Drosophila melanogaster: one gene and its partners. The protein of the gene in region 2 purifies or fractionates together with the protein of the main gene of each other region. This does not show direct contact. Each region holds a gene or a part of one and is shown on either strand. Other genes may lie near its edges.

The links.
Region 1: the proteins of TfIIS (region 2) and CG17118 purify together in Drosophila melanogaster (affinity purification with mass spectrometry, with the first as the bait; 2 studies listed by BioGRID). This does not show direct contact.
Region 3: the proteins of TfIIS (region 2) and CG4854 purify together in Drosophila melanogaster (affinity purification with mass spectrometry, with the first as the bait; 2 studies listed by BioGRID). This does not show direct contact.

What each region holds. Positions count from the first base shown.
Region 1 is NT_033779.5:10,728,297-10,731,856, forward strand, and holds CG17118 (uncharacterized protein), read left to right. Parts: upstream 1-1,958; 5' UTR 1,959-2,002; coding exon 2,003-2,086; intron 2,087-2,143; coding exon 2,144-2,335; intron 2,336-2,401; coding exon 2,402-2,971; 3' UTR 2,972-3,060; downstream 3,061-3,560. Other genes in the region: CG6431 (uncharacterized protein), read left to right, coding at 56-260, 317-380; CG6443 (uncharacterized protein), read left to right, coding at 944-1,012, 1,076-1,906; EMC3 (ER membrane protein complex subunit 3), read right to left, coding at 3,235-3,560.
Region 2 is NT_033779.5:15,058,355-15,062,452, reverse strand, and holds TfIIS (RNA polymerase II elongation factor), read left to right. Parts: upstream 1-1,695; 5' UTR 1,696-1,954; coding exon 1,955-2,020; intron 2,021-2,086; coding exon 2,087-2,962; 3' UTR 2,963-3,534; downstream 3,535-4,098. Other genes in the region: CG33679 (uncharacterized protein), read right to left, coding at 3,566-3,721, 3,785-4,098. UniProt on the Drosophila melanogaster protein: Necessary for efficient RNA polymerase II transcription elongation past template-encoded arresting sites.
Region 3 is NT_033777.3:20,026,311-20,030,133, forward strand, and holds CG4854 (uncharacterized protein), read left to right. Parts: upstream 1-1,747; 5' UTR 1,748-1,844; coding exon 1,845-1,970; intron 1,971-2,028; coding exon 2,029-2,528; intron 2,529-2,593; coding exon 2,594-2,728; intron 2,729-2,889; coding exon 2,890-3,088; 3' UTR 3,089-3,251; downstream 3,252-3,823. Other genes in the region: CG4424 (uncharacterized protein), read right to left, coding at 317-455, 521-631, 742-876, 937-1,439, 1,501-1,650; trem (trade embargo), read right to left, coding at 3,356-3,521, 3,581-3,691, 3,748-3,823.

The DNA of each region.
Region 1 (3,560 bases), 4.3 Mb from region 2:
CCTCTTTCTCGGAAAAAGAAATCATATATAAATAAATGTGCTCTCTATCAAACAGGAAAATCGCGATGTTCGCACTTCTTGAGCATCTGCTACTTGGCCACTGCCACATTTAAACACAATAAGTTCATGGGAGTACCGTGTCCCAATGGCTGCCTGAATCTTAGTGGATCCAAGAGGCTGCCAGTGAGCGGCAAAGTGAATCCCTTCGAGTTCGCCTCGCTGATAAGGGAGTACCACATAGGCAACGATGCCCCCGATGAGTAAGTTTATTAAAAACCATATATATAATTTATAACCAATTTCATATTTGATTTAGCGCCCGAGGCTGCATTTGCATTGATGTGCCGTATGCCAAGCACTGCCCCTTTACGGATGCGTAGGAGCTGGTCTTCAGTAGTTTGTAATTCTATGATAAAGCTGTCGATAATAAATTCAAGTAATATTATTTTTTTGGTCTTTGGGTATTTTAGTAAATATGAAGGAAAAATGAGAAATAATTACTTACCTTCTACTACACGTAGTAGGAGTTTATTATTAAAATGTTGCAAATTCCAAATTTAGTTTTCGAAAATTTAAAAATCAAATTCGATATACTAAGAGTTTGGTTCACCGTAATATACCAAAATTTATATCGAATATATGATATCGATGTTTGCAATCGTCATTGCAGTCGCTACAGCTGTTTGGTGTTTTACCATCTCTATGGACATTGTGTATATAAAACATTTGTTATTGCTCATAACAGAATTTCTCCATTTACTACAACCTGAAGATATATAGTTATTTATATCGTTAGTTTATTTAAAGTAAGTAAGATACTTATACCGTGTAAAATGTAAAACAATTGAAAAATATCATAACCCATTGTAAATCGCATATTATAGTTTGCCCAACAAGGAATTCCCAGGAAATATATTGTAATTCTTGAGATAAATATATAATCATGGGTTGCGATGGAGGAACTATTCCCAGGCGCGATGAGCTGGTGCGCGTGAAGCAAAAGCCAGAGCAGGTAAGTCTATTCGATTGGAGCACCTCCTAGCCAGACCGAAATATCATTTCTCGAACCCTACAGAAAGACAAAGATGCGGAGAGGGAGTTCCGTTGGCGCCACTGCACCTTGACCCAGCAAAGCCTCCAGGAGCCGATCGCCATGTGCGGCATGGGTAGGCTCTATTCCAAGCAGAGCGTCATTGAGCGACTGCTGGAGAAGGAACCGATGCCAGAGACAGCTGCGCACGTGAAGAGCATGAAGGACATTCGCCAGCTTAATCCCACACCCAATCCCGCCTTCACCGAGGAGGACAAAACTGAGGGACTGCTGGACACACGACATTCTCCTTACATCTGCAAGCTGATTGGCCTGGAGATGTCCGGCAAATTTCGCTTTGTGGCCCTTTGGAGCTGCGGATGCGTTTTATCAGAGCGTGCCTTGAAACAGATCAAAGGCAGTGTGGCTAGCACTTGTCCGCTGTGCCAGGCTGCCTATAGCGTTGAGGACGTGGTGGTCCTCAATGGCAACGAGGAGGACATGGAGCTCATGCGGGTCAAGATGGAAATGCGTGCGGCCAAGCGTAAGTCCTCCAAAAAGGACAAGAAGAGTGCCAAAAAGGTGGAGGTGAAAGCGGAGCCCGCAGAGGAACAGGAGCCAGTGGCGTCCACATCCAAGGCTGCAGCCGCAGAGAAGCCCACTACAAGCACAAAAACCAAGGCGGTGGCGCCGGTCAAACGACTGGGCGCCGTTAATGCAATGCAGGATCCCGAACTGAAGCGTCTCAAGAGCGACTTCAGCGTGGCCAAGGACCCGAAGGCCAGCGATGTTTACAAGTCCCTTTTCACCTCCCATAAAACCGAAAAGGACCAGGAGCGCGCCCACTGGGTCACCTATAATCCATTCTACAATTAGTCTAGATTTCGTTTAAGTTTGCTGTGTTAACTCAGTCACATGTCCATAGTTTGATCGTTGAAACCACACACACAGTTTCAAAATATACAACCGACAATGTATCGTGCAGCCTATCAAAAAGGTTTCCTTACCGTGCTTTACAGCGTAGGCAGTTCGCCCCTGAACAACTGGTCTTCCTATGTGAGTATCTGGCATTCAATGCAGCTGCCTCGTCTCTAGAAAGCATCCTTGTAACAGACCAAAAACGGGTATATCAAACGGATCTACGATGAGGACATCAAGTCCCTGGTGCTCGAGATAATGGGCTCAAATGTGTCCACCACATTCATACACTGCCCCAGCGAATGCAAGGAGCAGCTGGGCATCAAGTTGCCCTTCCTGGTGCTCCTTATAAAGAACATGCACAAGTACTTTTGCTTCGAAGTTAAGGTAAGGCCAAGTGCTATGAATTTATAGTAAACTCTGGACTGCACAATGATGACAATATATCCTTAGATTCAAGACGATCAGCGCTTCATGCGCCGTTTCCGAGTGTCCAATTTCCAGAGCAAGACCTCCGTGAAGCCCTTCTGCACGGCGATGCCGATGGGCATGTCACCGGGGTGGAACCAGATCCAGTTTAACCTGGCCGACTTCACGCGCCGTGCTTACGGCTCCAACTATCTGGAGACGGTATCCTTGCAGCTGCATGCCAACGTACGCATCCGGCGCATCTACTTCGCAGATAAGCTATACACAGAGGCTGAATTGCCCAATGACTACCGTCTGATGGGCAAGCCGAAGGATCTGAAGAAGCCGGAGAAGCAGTTCAAGGTGCAGGCCACTGCGCGTCCTCCGTCGCCTTTGAACACGGGTCGCGGTGAACCCGGACCCTCCAAAGACACGGACGCAGAGGCAACAGGTCCCGCCACGGATCCGATGAGTGAGCCGGAGCCCGCGCTGCAGAAGTCTCCGTCGCCGCCTGTTCCGCAGAAGGTTCCGTCGCCAGCAGCTTCCGCTCCTCCAGAGCCGGCCACCGAGGAGCCAGCTCCACAAACGGAGGCCACCGAAGAGGCCTACTATTAAGTTACGTTGCACAGTTGCTTGTTTTTATCGTTCTGTTGACACGCGACTGGGAGTGGCACATAGTTTAAATTTCCAGTCATAGCAATCATAATCGAAAGTGTTTCTTTAATACAAAACTTGGGAATGGGCATTACATTTGGATTTCCATGCAGAACGGATTGGTTTCCCATTGTAGTCACACAACTTGCTTTATTTTAACCCTCTCTGACTCGAAACAAAATCTACTTTGTTACATTGTGAATTTGCTAAAATACATAACTTAATTAGGATGATGCCGCGGGTGCACTGGCGATAGCCAGCATGTCAGCGTCAATGTTCTTGAGTGCGTTGTGGTACTCGGTTATCTCGAGCGCCTCCCACTCGGCCTTGAAGGCGGCCTTTGGATCCTGGGGCATAGTCATGGCGGCGCCCGTCATGGCATCCGCCTGTGCCTGCGTCTGATCGGCATGATTGTTCTCGCCAAGAACCAGTGTGTAGATGGAGCGCAGGCCGAACACGTTGAGGAAGTACCAAGAGGCTGAGGAGACCCAGGCGGCGTCCAGCGAGGCCAGCTCCACGCCCCGCTGGAGCATGGGCTTAAAGCGCAGGG
Region 2 (4,098 bases):
GGACAATTTTTACTTTCAACTTATTTTCTTTTTAAAAAAATGAATCAACTTTACACGCAAAATCTTTTTTTTATATTAGACCTTTCAAGATCCTGTTAGAATAGAACGCAAAGAGGAAACCAAATTAGGAATTCATGTTCTAGGGTTGCCAAGCTCTCTAATTGCTACAGTCAAATAAGGAGAAAAATCCGTAATAAGTACAAAAAGGTGCTTCGACAACTCTGAAACATAACCGAAAATGAACGAATGAAGTCAAAAGGAGCTTAATAAAAGTAAGTATTCGAAAATTGTAAAACGAAAATGGGTGTAACAATATGAGAAAAATCCGTTAGAAGTACAAAAAGGGGCTTCGACAACGCTGAAACATAACCGAAAATGGAAGAATGAAGTCAAAATGAGCTTAAGTATTCGAAAATTGTAAAACGAAAATGGGTGTAACATTAATATTTAAATGGGATAGTTTTTACAATAGAAGAATTAAAAATGATAAGGGGAATAATATATGTAATACGTTTTCAAATGGTTTTAATTTTGCGGATTTAAAAATTGGAAAATGAAAAACTTGTCGAGTCAATTTAGACAAGTTTTAATGAGCTTATTTTTAATGTTGCAAAATTAAATCCGATTCAAAACTAATTGCATATCACTAAGATAGTCTCTTGCTACTTACCCTGCCTTTCAAGAGCAAATTAATTCTTTTTCACTTTATGTATTACCTTACAAACTTTGATAAGTTCAGATCACTTCGCGCAACGCAAAACCGAAAAGGATCTGTTAAAAGTACCAAAAATCTAGTGGTGGAATTTCCCATTGTGCTATCGCAATTCGATATTCACAATTTCGATAATTTATATATATAGCCGTTTTCCACTAACACATCAAATGTGATTTAGCTATTAATGAAATTGTAATATTCAAGCAACCTAAGTGATTCATTCATATGTACATACTTATATGTAAAGATGGTGGTGGCATTTTTAACATGGGGAAGTTCTTATTTATTTACTTTTTCGTTTGTTATAGGTGAATTCCTCTTTATTTTTATACAATATAATTTTATTTTACGTTAAGCAACCAATTTAAGGGCTATGAAACGTAGTAACTAACAGGAGCAACGAAGATAACATGGAAACATACAAAATTTGTATAAAAATATTGATTAGATAATAGTTTGGCTTGTTTATGCCACGTGTCCAAAGATATCTTTGATGACGCCTCCTCAGTGTTCTCCTGGTTGTCTGGTATGTGCCTGATTTAATTTGTTCTCAAACTGAAGGTGGATGCTGAGGTCATGTGCGATATCAACATTTCTCGCGTACCAGGGCGCGTTGGTGATTGTTCGCAACGCTTGGTTTTGGAGCCGTTGCCCTCTCACTATGTCCCACCGCCGATTTGACCCGCAGACGTATCCCGCTTGTCCCCAACAACCGCACTTCATCATAATACATCATCTCTAGACCACACTCAAACGATTTATTTATTAAAACTAAGTGATATATAGGGAATTGTTATTGAAGGTAATTAGTATAATTCAAAAACGCCCAACACGCTGTTCTTTCATTGAAATACAGTGGAGCCCTGCTTGCAAGCAGTGCAAGTTTAAAAAACATCGCAATGCTATGTGTGTGTACTCGCTTAAAAGCCAGATGTACATTAAAATACGGTAACACTGTTGACTTCTGAAACCCAAACTACTTCCAGTTGGGAATTGTATTAGCCATGGGAAGGCATTTCTTGACAAGCCACCGCCCGGTAACACTAAAACGCGTTAGGGTGTTCTGTCAACTCGTTCTGCGAATACAGAAACGAAAAAAATAGTAAACAACATTTATTGGAGGGAAAAAAAGAAATAGCCCGGCTTCCGCATAAACAACTGTCGCAGACCCGCAGCACCGATTAAAGCCGACAGCCGACGCCAGTTAACCTAACCTCTGATCAAATTAAGTGGGCCAAAATGAGCGTGGAGGAGGAAGTGTTTCGAATCCAAAAGAAGATGAGCAAGATGGCCAGCGACGGCACAGTAAGTATCGGGATTAGCTAACGTGCCGCGCATCATGTCACAAATATACATATATCCACCGTACAGGGACAGGATCAGGCTCTGGACCTGCTGAAGGCCCTGCAAACGCTTAACATCAATCTCGACATTCTGACCAAAACGCGCATCGGCATGACCGTAAACGAGCTGCGCAAGAGTAGCAAGGACGACGAGGTGATCGCTCTGGCCAAGACGCTGATCAAGAACTGGAAACGATTCCTCGCCAGCCCGGCGCCAACCACACCGAACAACAGCTCCGCTAAGGAGGGCTCCTCCAACAACAGCAGTGCCTCGAAGTCCACCAGTGCCGCCAAGTCGTCGTCGTCAATCTCCGGCAAGGATAAGTCCAGTTCATCCAGCTCATCCAAGGATAAAGAGAAGAAAGGCTCGACATCCTCGTCACAGACCTCGTTTCCCTCCGGCGGCATGACAGATGCGGTCCGCATCAAATGCCGCGAAATGCTGGCCACCGCACTGAAGATTGGTGAAGTGCCCGAAGGATGCGGTGAGCCGGAGGAAATGGCCGCCGAACTGGAGGATGCCATTTACTCCGAGTTCAATAACACGGATATGAAGTACAAGAATCGCATTAGGTCACGCGTGGCCAATCTGAAGGACCCCAAAAATCCTGGATTGCGAGGCAACTTTATGTGCGGCGCCGTCACTGCCAAGCAGCTGGCCAAAATGACGCCGGAGGAGATGGCCAGCGATGAGATGAAGAAGCTGCGCGAGAAGTTCGTCAAGGAGGCCATCAACGATGCCCAGCTGGCCACCGTGCAGGGCACCAAGACCGATCTCCTCAAGTGCGCCAAGTGCAAGAAGCGCAACTGCACCTACAACCAGCTGCAGACTCGTTCCGCCGATGAACCTATGACCACCTTCGTCATGTGCAACGAGTGCGGCAACCGATGGAAGTTCTGCTAACTCCCAAAATTGTTCCAAAATATAAATCAATCCCAAATGAGCACACACCACACATCCTTCATATTCTTAAATGAAACATTGTAAAGACACGACACGCGAGAAAACATTTTGTATCTGCTGCCCAACTGCGGAGGCGTTTACTCTGACCACCTAAACCTTAAACGAGAGAAAAGAAATTTCAATAAACATTAACTATTGATAAAACGGAGACGTCTTGTTGCCGCAATCAGTTTTTTAAAAACGCCGGTGATAACGACCACGCTGCTGATAACTCGCCGATAACACAGCGGGGCGATAAATTGAGCATTGAGCAAAGTAAATATGAATACATTATAAATATAACTCAGAATGATCTAGCAGAGAAGTAAATAAGACGCCATATTGTGTATGTATTCTCGAAGAGTATTAACAACCGATGTAATTAGTCAGTTTTAAAGCAATTTGCATTAACGAACTTTGTATTGCATTAAGTATAGAAGTCGGAACGGGCCAGATCGGACAACTATATCATATAGCGGGCATAGGAATAATTAAAACATTAACGCAAAATAAATATGTGTTCGTTGTGTTAGATCCATTAGGTGTTCTAATGTTTTGTTCATCTTAGTCAACGTCAATTTCAAAGTGGATGTTTATGATGGAAATCCAGTTCACGACACCATCATCCATTTCGAGGGTTAACTTATAGCTACCCTTTGGTAATGGGACCTTGGCAAACATACGATCATCCAAGGTGCAGTTCCTTATGTAAATATCATCCTTAAAATATATATTTTAATATGATTTAATATGATTGTCATATTGGCGAAACTAAATACTTACATTATAGGGACATGTATGATTAATATTGGAAAAGGGCATAAAGGCGGTGTAGAAATAGTAGAAGACTCTGAGACGATTTGGATACCTTAGGACGCGACAGTGTTCCTCGGAAACATTAAATAGAAACGGATGGTATCCGTTTAGCTTCCGGTAAGTGATGAATCTCACGACCATCCTATTTATTGGCAGTTTCAGAAGCTTAACGTGTATGTTGGCTCCGATAATTCCCCTGCCAAGCACTTTTAGTCGGCATTCGGGAAAGACGACGAATGATTTGTCATAGCTTTCGCACTTGAGGTTCGTGAGGCGCACGT
Region 3 (3,823 bases), on a different chromosome or scaffold from region 2:
GAACACCAGCGCCAAGTCAGCACTTATCAATCACTTTTCGGCATTTCCCTCGTACAACACATAAAAGTTGTAAAATTTTGTAAAACAAAAATTAGAAAAGAACAAAACAAAGAAAAAAGATTGCGTACCGCTTTGCAAGTAAGTCAAGTAAAAGAATAAATTGTAAAAATGTAAACAGTTTGTTTTTTTTTTTAGAATGCTTTTTAGTTAGTTTCATGAAATCTTTCTAGCAAACTTTATATAACAAAGGTCGTATATACAAAGTTTTAGGCTTTAAGCAAAGGTAAAATGTCGCGATCTTATAAATATTATATTATTAAGCATTAGCTACAGTAATCCCCACTTTAAAGGTACTTAGATAGGCAGTCAGTCGTGGATCATTTATATGCTGTTGCGTTTGCAGATGCGCCACGAGATTGTGAATGCGAGCGAAGCTTTTGTTGCAGAGTTGGCATCTGAAGTAATAATAGCAACGTGATAAGTTTTAGGTTTGATTTAGTTTAAAACCGAAACCACTTACATGTGGGGTTTTTCGCCCGTGTGCGTCTTGTAGTGCATTTTAAGGACACTGGCATATGTGAACTTCTTTCCGCAGGTCTTGCAGGCATAAGGACGCTCATTTCGATGGGTTCTGTGGAGGAAATACAATTAATTAGCTAGTCTCTACTTGTAGTTAATTAATAGAGGTTCCAAAAGATACAGAAATGTTTTTACTGGAATAATTATGTATTCTTTGCTTACCTTTCATGCTTAACTAGGGAAGTGCGATCCGCGAAGTTGCGTTGGCAATATTGGCAGGTATATGGTTTAGCTCCCGTGTGCTGCCGGATGTGGCGCTTCAGCTGGTAGTTGACGTGGAAGCTCTTGTGGCAAATCCTAAAAAGAGCCACATGACTGAGACATTTATATACACAAAAAAGTGGTAAGTACACCTACTCGCACTCGTAAGGCCGCTCATCGTTATGCCTTCGCATGTGGGTGTCCAGCGTGCTCTTCCTGGGATATCCATTGCCACAGATAGCGCACACATGCAATTTACCCTTGACGGCACCAGCAGGAGCAGGTGGAGGAGTAGATGCAGGCGGAGGATAAGGAGCAGGAAGCATTTCCACCGTTAGAACTGTGGGCCTTTCCTTTTCCGCCGGGCCATGTGGCGTTTCTTCAATGGGATCTTCCGTAGACCAAACTCCCTCTTCAAGCACCTCATCCTCTGGTGGTTCAAGCTGCTCAGTCTCTATCGGTGGCGGAGTTGAAGGTCGCGTTTGCTGCACCACCTCCTTGACTACCCCTTGCTCGACTGCATCCTTTATCACGTATTCCCGGAGAAATTCATTGGAGCGCTGGCATATCTGTCGAAATTTGTGGGCCAGAGTTAGAAATGCCTTGCATCTGAGGCAGATTCTGGTGGGCAGCACTTCCTCCTTTGCCGTTGCCCTTATCTATGGATGAGATATTACTTGAAATTAATTAGAAATATCAAGGAAAACGAAAGGATCCCACCTGAATTCCACTCAAACTTTCGATTTTGTCACAGAGGGATACGCCACCGGGCAGCCTATCGTCCGCTGTCTGGAAAATAGACACCATGTGGGCTTCGCCATCCTGCAGGCAAGTCCTGCACAGGGTCATCATGTTCAATCGTATCTCCATTTGAACCAAACGAGTTGGCCGACAAAAATTAACGATCAAAATAACTCTGCTTCCTCTTCGCTGTTTGGCCAGTCACCGATATTTATCGAAGGGCCGATTGCCATTCGCCCCGGAGCCGCACAAATTTTAATTGTTTGGTCAGTAAACAAACAAAAATTAAATATTTCGGAATTTGTACCTACAATAACAGAAGAATGCATACCAACGTGGATAGCAGGGACCTTAAGTGTCGCATCTGCTTGGTGCAGCCTAAGGATGAGTCTCTCATGCCCACGGAGCCCGATTTTCCAGATAAAATCAAACGCTGCACAGGAGTTGAAGTGGGTTTTTGAATATCTATATTATGATCTATATTACCCATTAAAAACCTACCCACAGTTGAGTGAGAGTCCCGACTGGCCCAATCGCATCTGCACCAGCTGCGCCCTGCTGCTCAGAGCTGCCCTCAAACTCAGATCCCTTTGCCAGCAGACGGAGAAGGATCTGAAGGAGCAGAAGCTGCAGGAGATAAACATAGAGATTGTTCACGATGAGCAGGAGACGAAGAAGAAAACTGAATCAAGAGACCTGTCCAAGAATGAGGCTACCGGTAGCGACAGCGAGTTGGAGTACGAGTACCTAGACTCATACGATGTAACGCTGGAGAGCAGCGAGGATGTGGCCTGTAGTGCCGATGAATTGGTCAGCATAGAGCCTGCCATCTCCGCTCCAGAGGAATCTGTCTATTCACTTAGTCCCAAACCGGTAACTTTTGAAGACGAGGACTCCGGACAGGCTGCTTCCTTTACCTGCAACATTTGCAACAATGTCTACTCAGAGCGCGTAAAGTTGACCAACCACATGAAAGTCCACAGCGCGAAGAAACCACACGAATGCGAGTAAGATTTTGATTTGAATTTGTTCCCATCGTATCCTATAATCGCATAATCCCATTATCTTGTAGAATCTGTCACAAACGTTTTCGCCAGACTCCGCAGTTGGCGAGGCACATGAACACCCACACCGGTAATCGTCCCTACAAATGTGACTATTGCGACTCCAGGTTCGCCGATCCCTCCACTCGCATTAAGCATCAGAGGTAGGTAAAAACATATAGGGCTGTCATAACTAGAATAAAAGAGATATATTTCTGTTAATCAGCTTTAATGTCAATTAATTGTTAACAAGTCTTGATAAAAGTTACTTCAAATCTAAATCTTAAGACATCCACGGAAGTTTCTAACGTTAAATACACTTTAGGATCCACACCAACGAACGACCGTACAAATGCGAGTTCTGCAGCAGGTCCTTTGGCTACTCCAACGTCCTCCGGGTTCATCTGAAAACCCATACCGGTGAACGACCATTTAGCTGCCAGTACTGCCAGAAGTCCTTCTCCCAGCTGCACCACAAAAACAGCCACGAAAAGTCACACAAAAGGACGAAAGAGGTGAAATGATTGCAGTGACTAAGAGGAAACATTGAGGTGCAAATTAAATAAGTTTCTCGTTGAAAATTGTACAATATATTAATGGATAAGTTCTAAGCCATAGGGCACCGCCATTAAAATTTGTCATTTTTCCTTATTTAATTTTTTATAAGAAGTAAAAAACAAATTGTACAAAAAAATATATCCTGTGTACATTTATTTGCTTAATGGAAGAACTTAAACAACGGCTTACTAAATACTTAGACTAAACTTTGCATAAGAACTAAAAAGAACATGTCACTCTTTGGGGAGTTCATTGAGAAACTCCGGCGTTTCCCCCTTGACATCTTCTGCTTTGGTGCTCTCTTCTGCGTCATTTCTCCAGGTGATACGTCTATTATGCGTTTCCCGATGCAAACGCAATTTGTAGGCCTTCACAAATCCTTTGCCACAAAGATCACAGCTGAAAGAGAATAGCTATTATTGCAGGATAATGAAGTAGTAAAATATGTTGATGCTTACACATGCGGCTTCTCCCCCGTGTGAATCATCTTGTGGAACTTCAGGTTGTCCGAGTAGGTAAACGTTCTGGAGCAAACGTCGCACACGTAGGGACGCTCCTTAGTGTGAATTCTGGAGAGAAATAATGTCAGTTTAATTTACTTTCAACTGTTTCGAATATTTCTCACCTATGATGTTTGGTTTTCGTGGATCGATCGGCGAAGGCAGCTGGACAGTAGTTGCACTTGTATGGTCGGTTCCCCG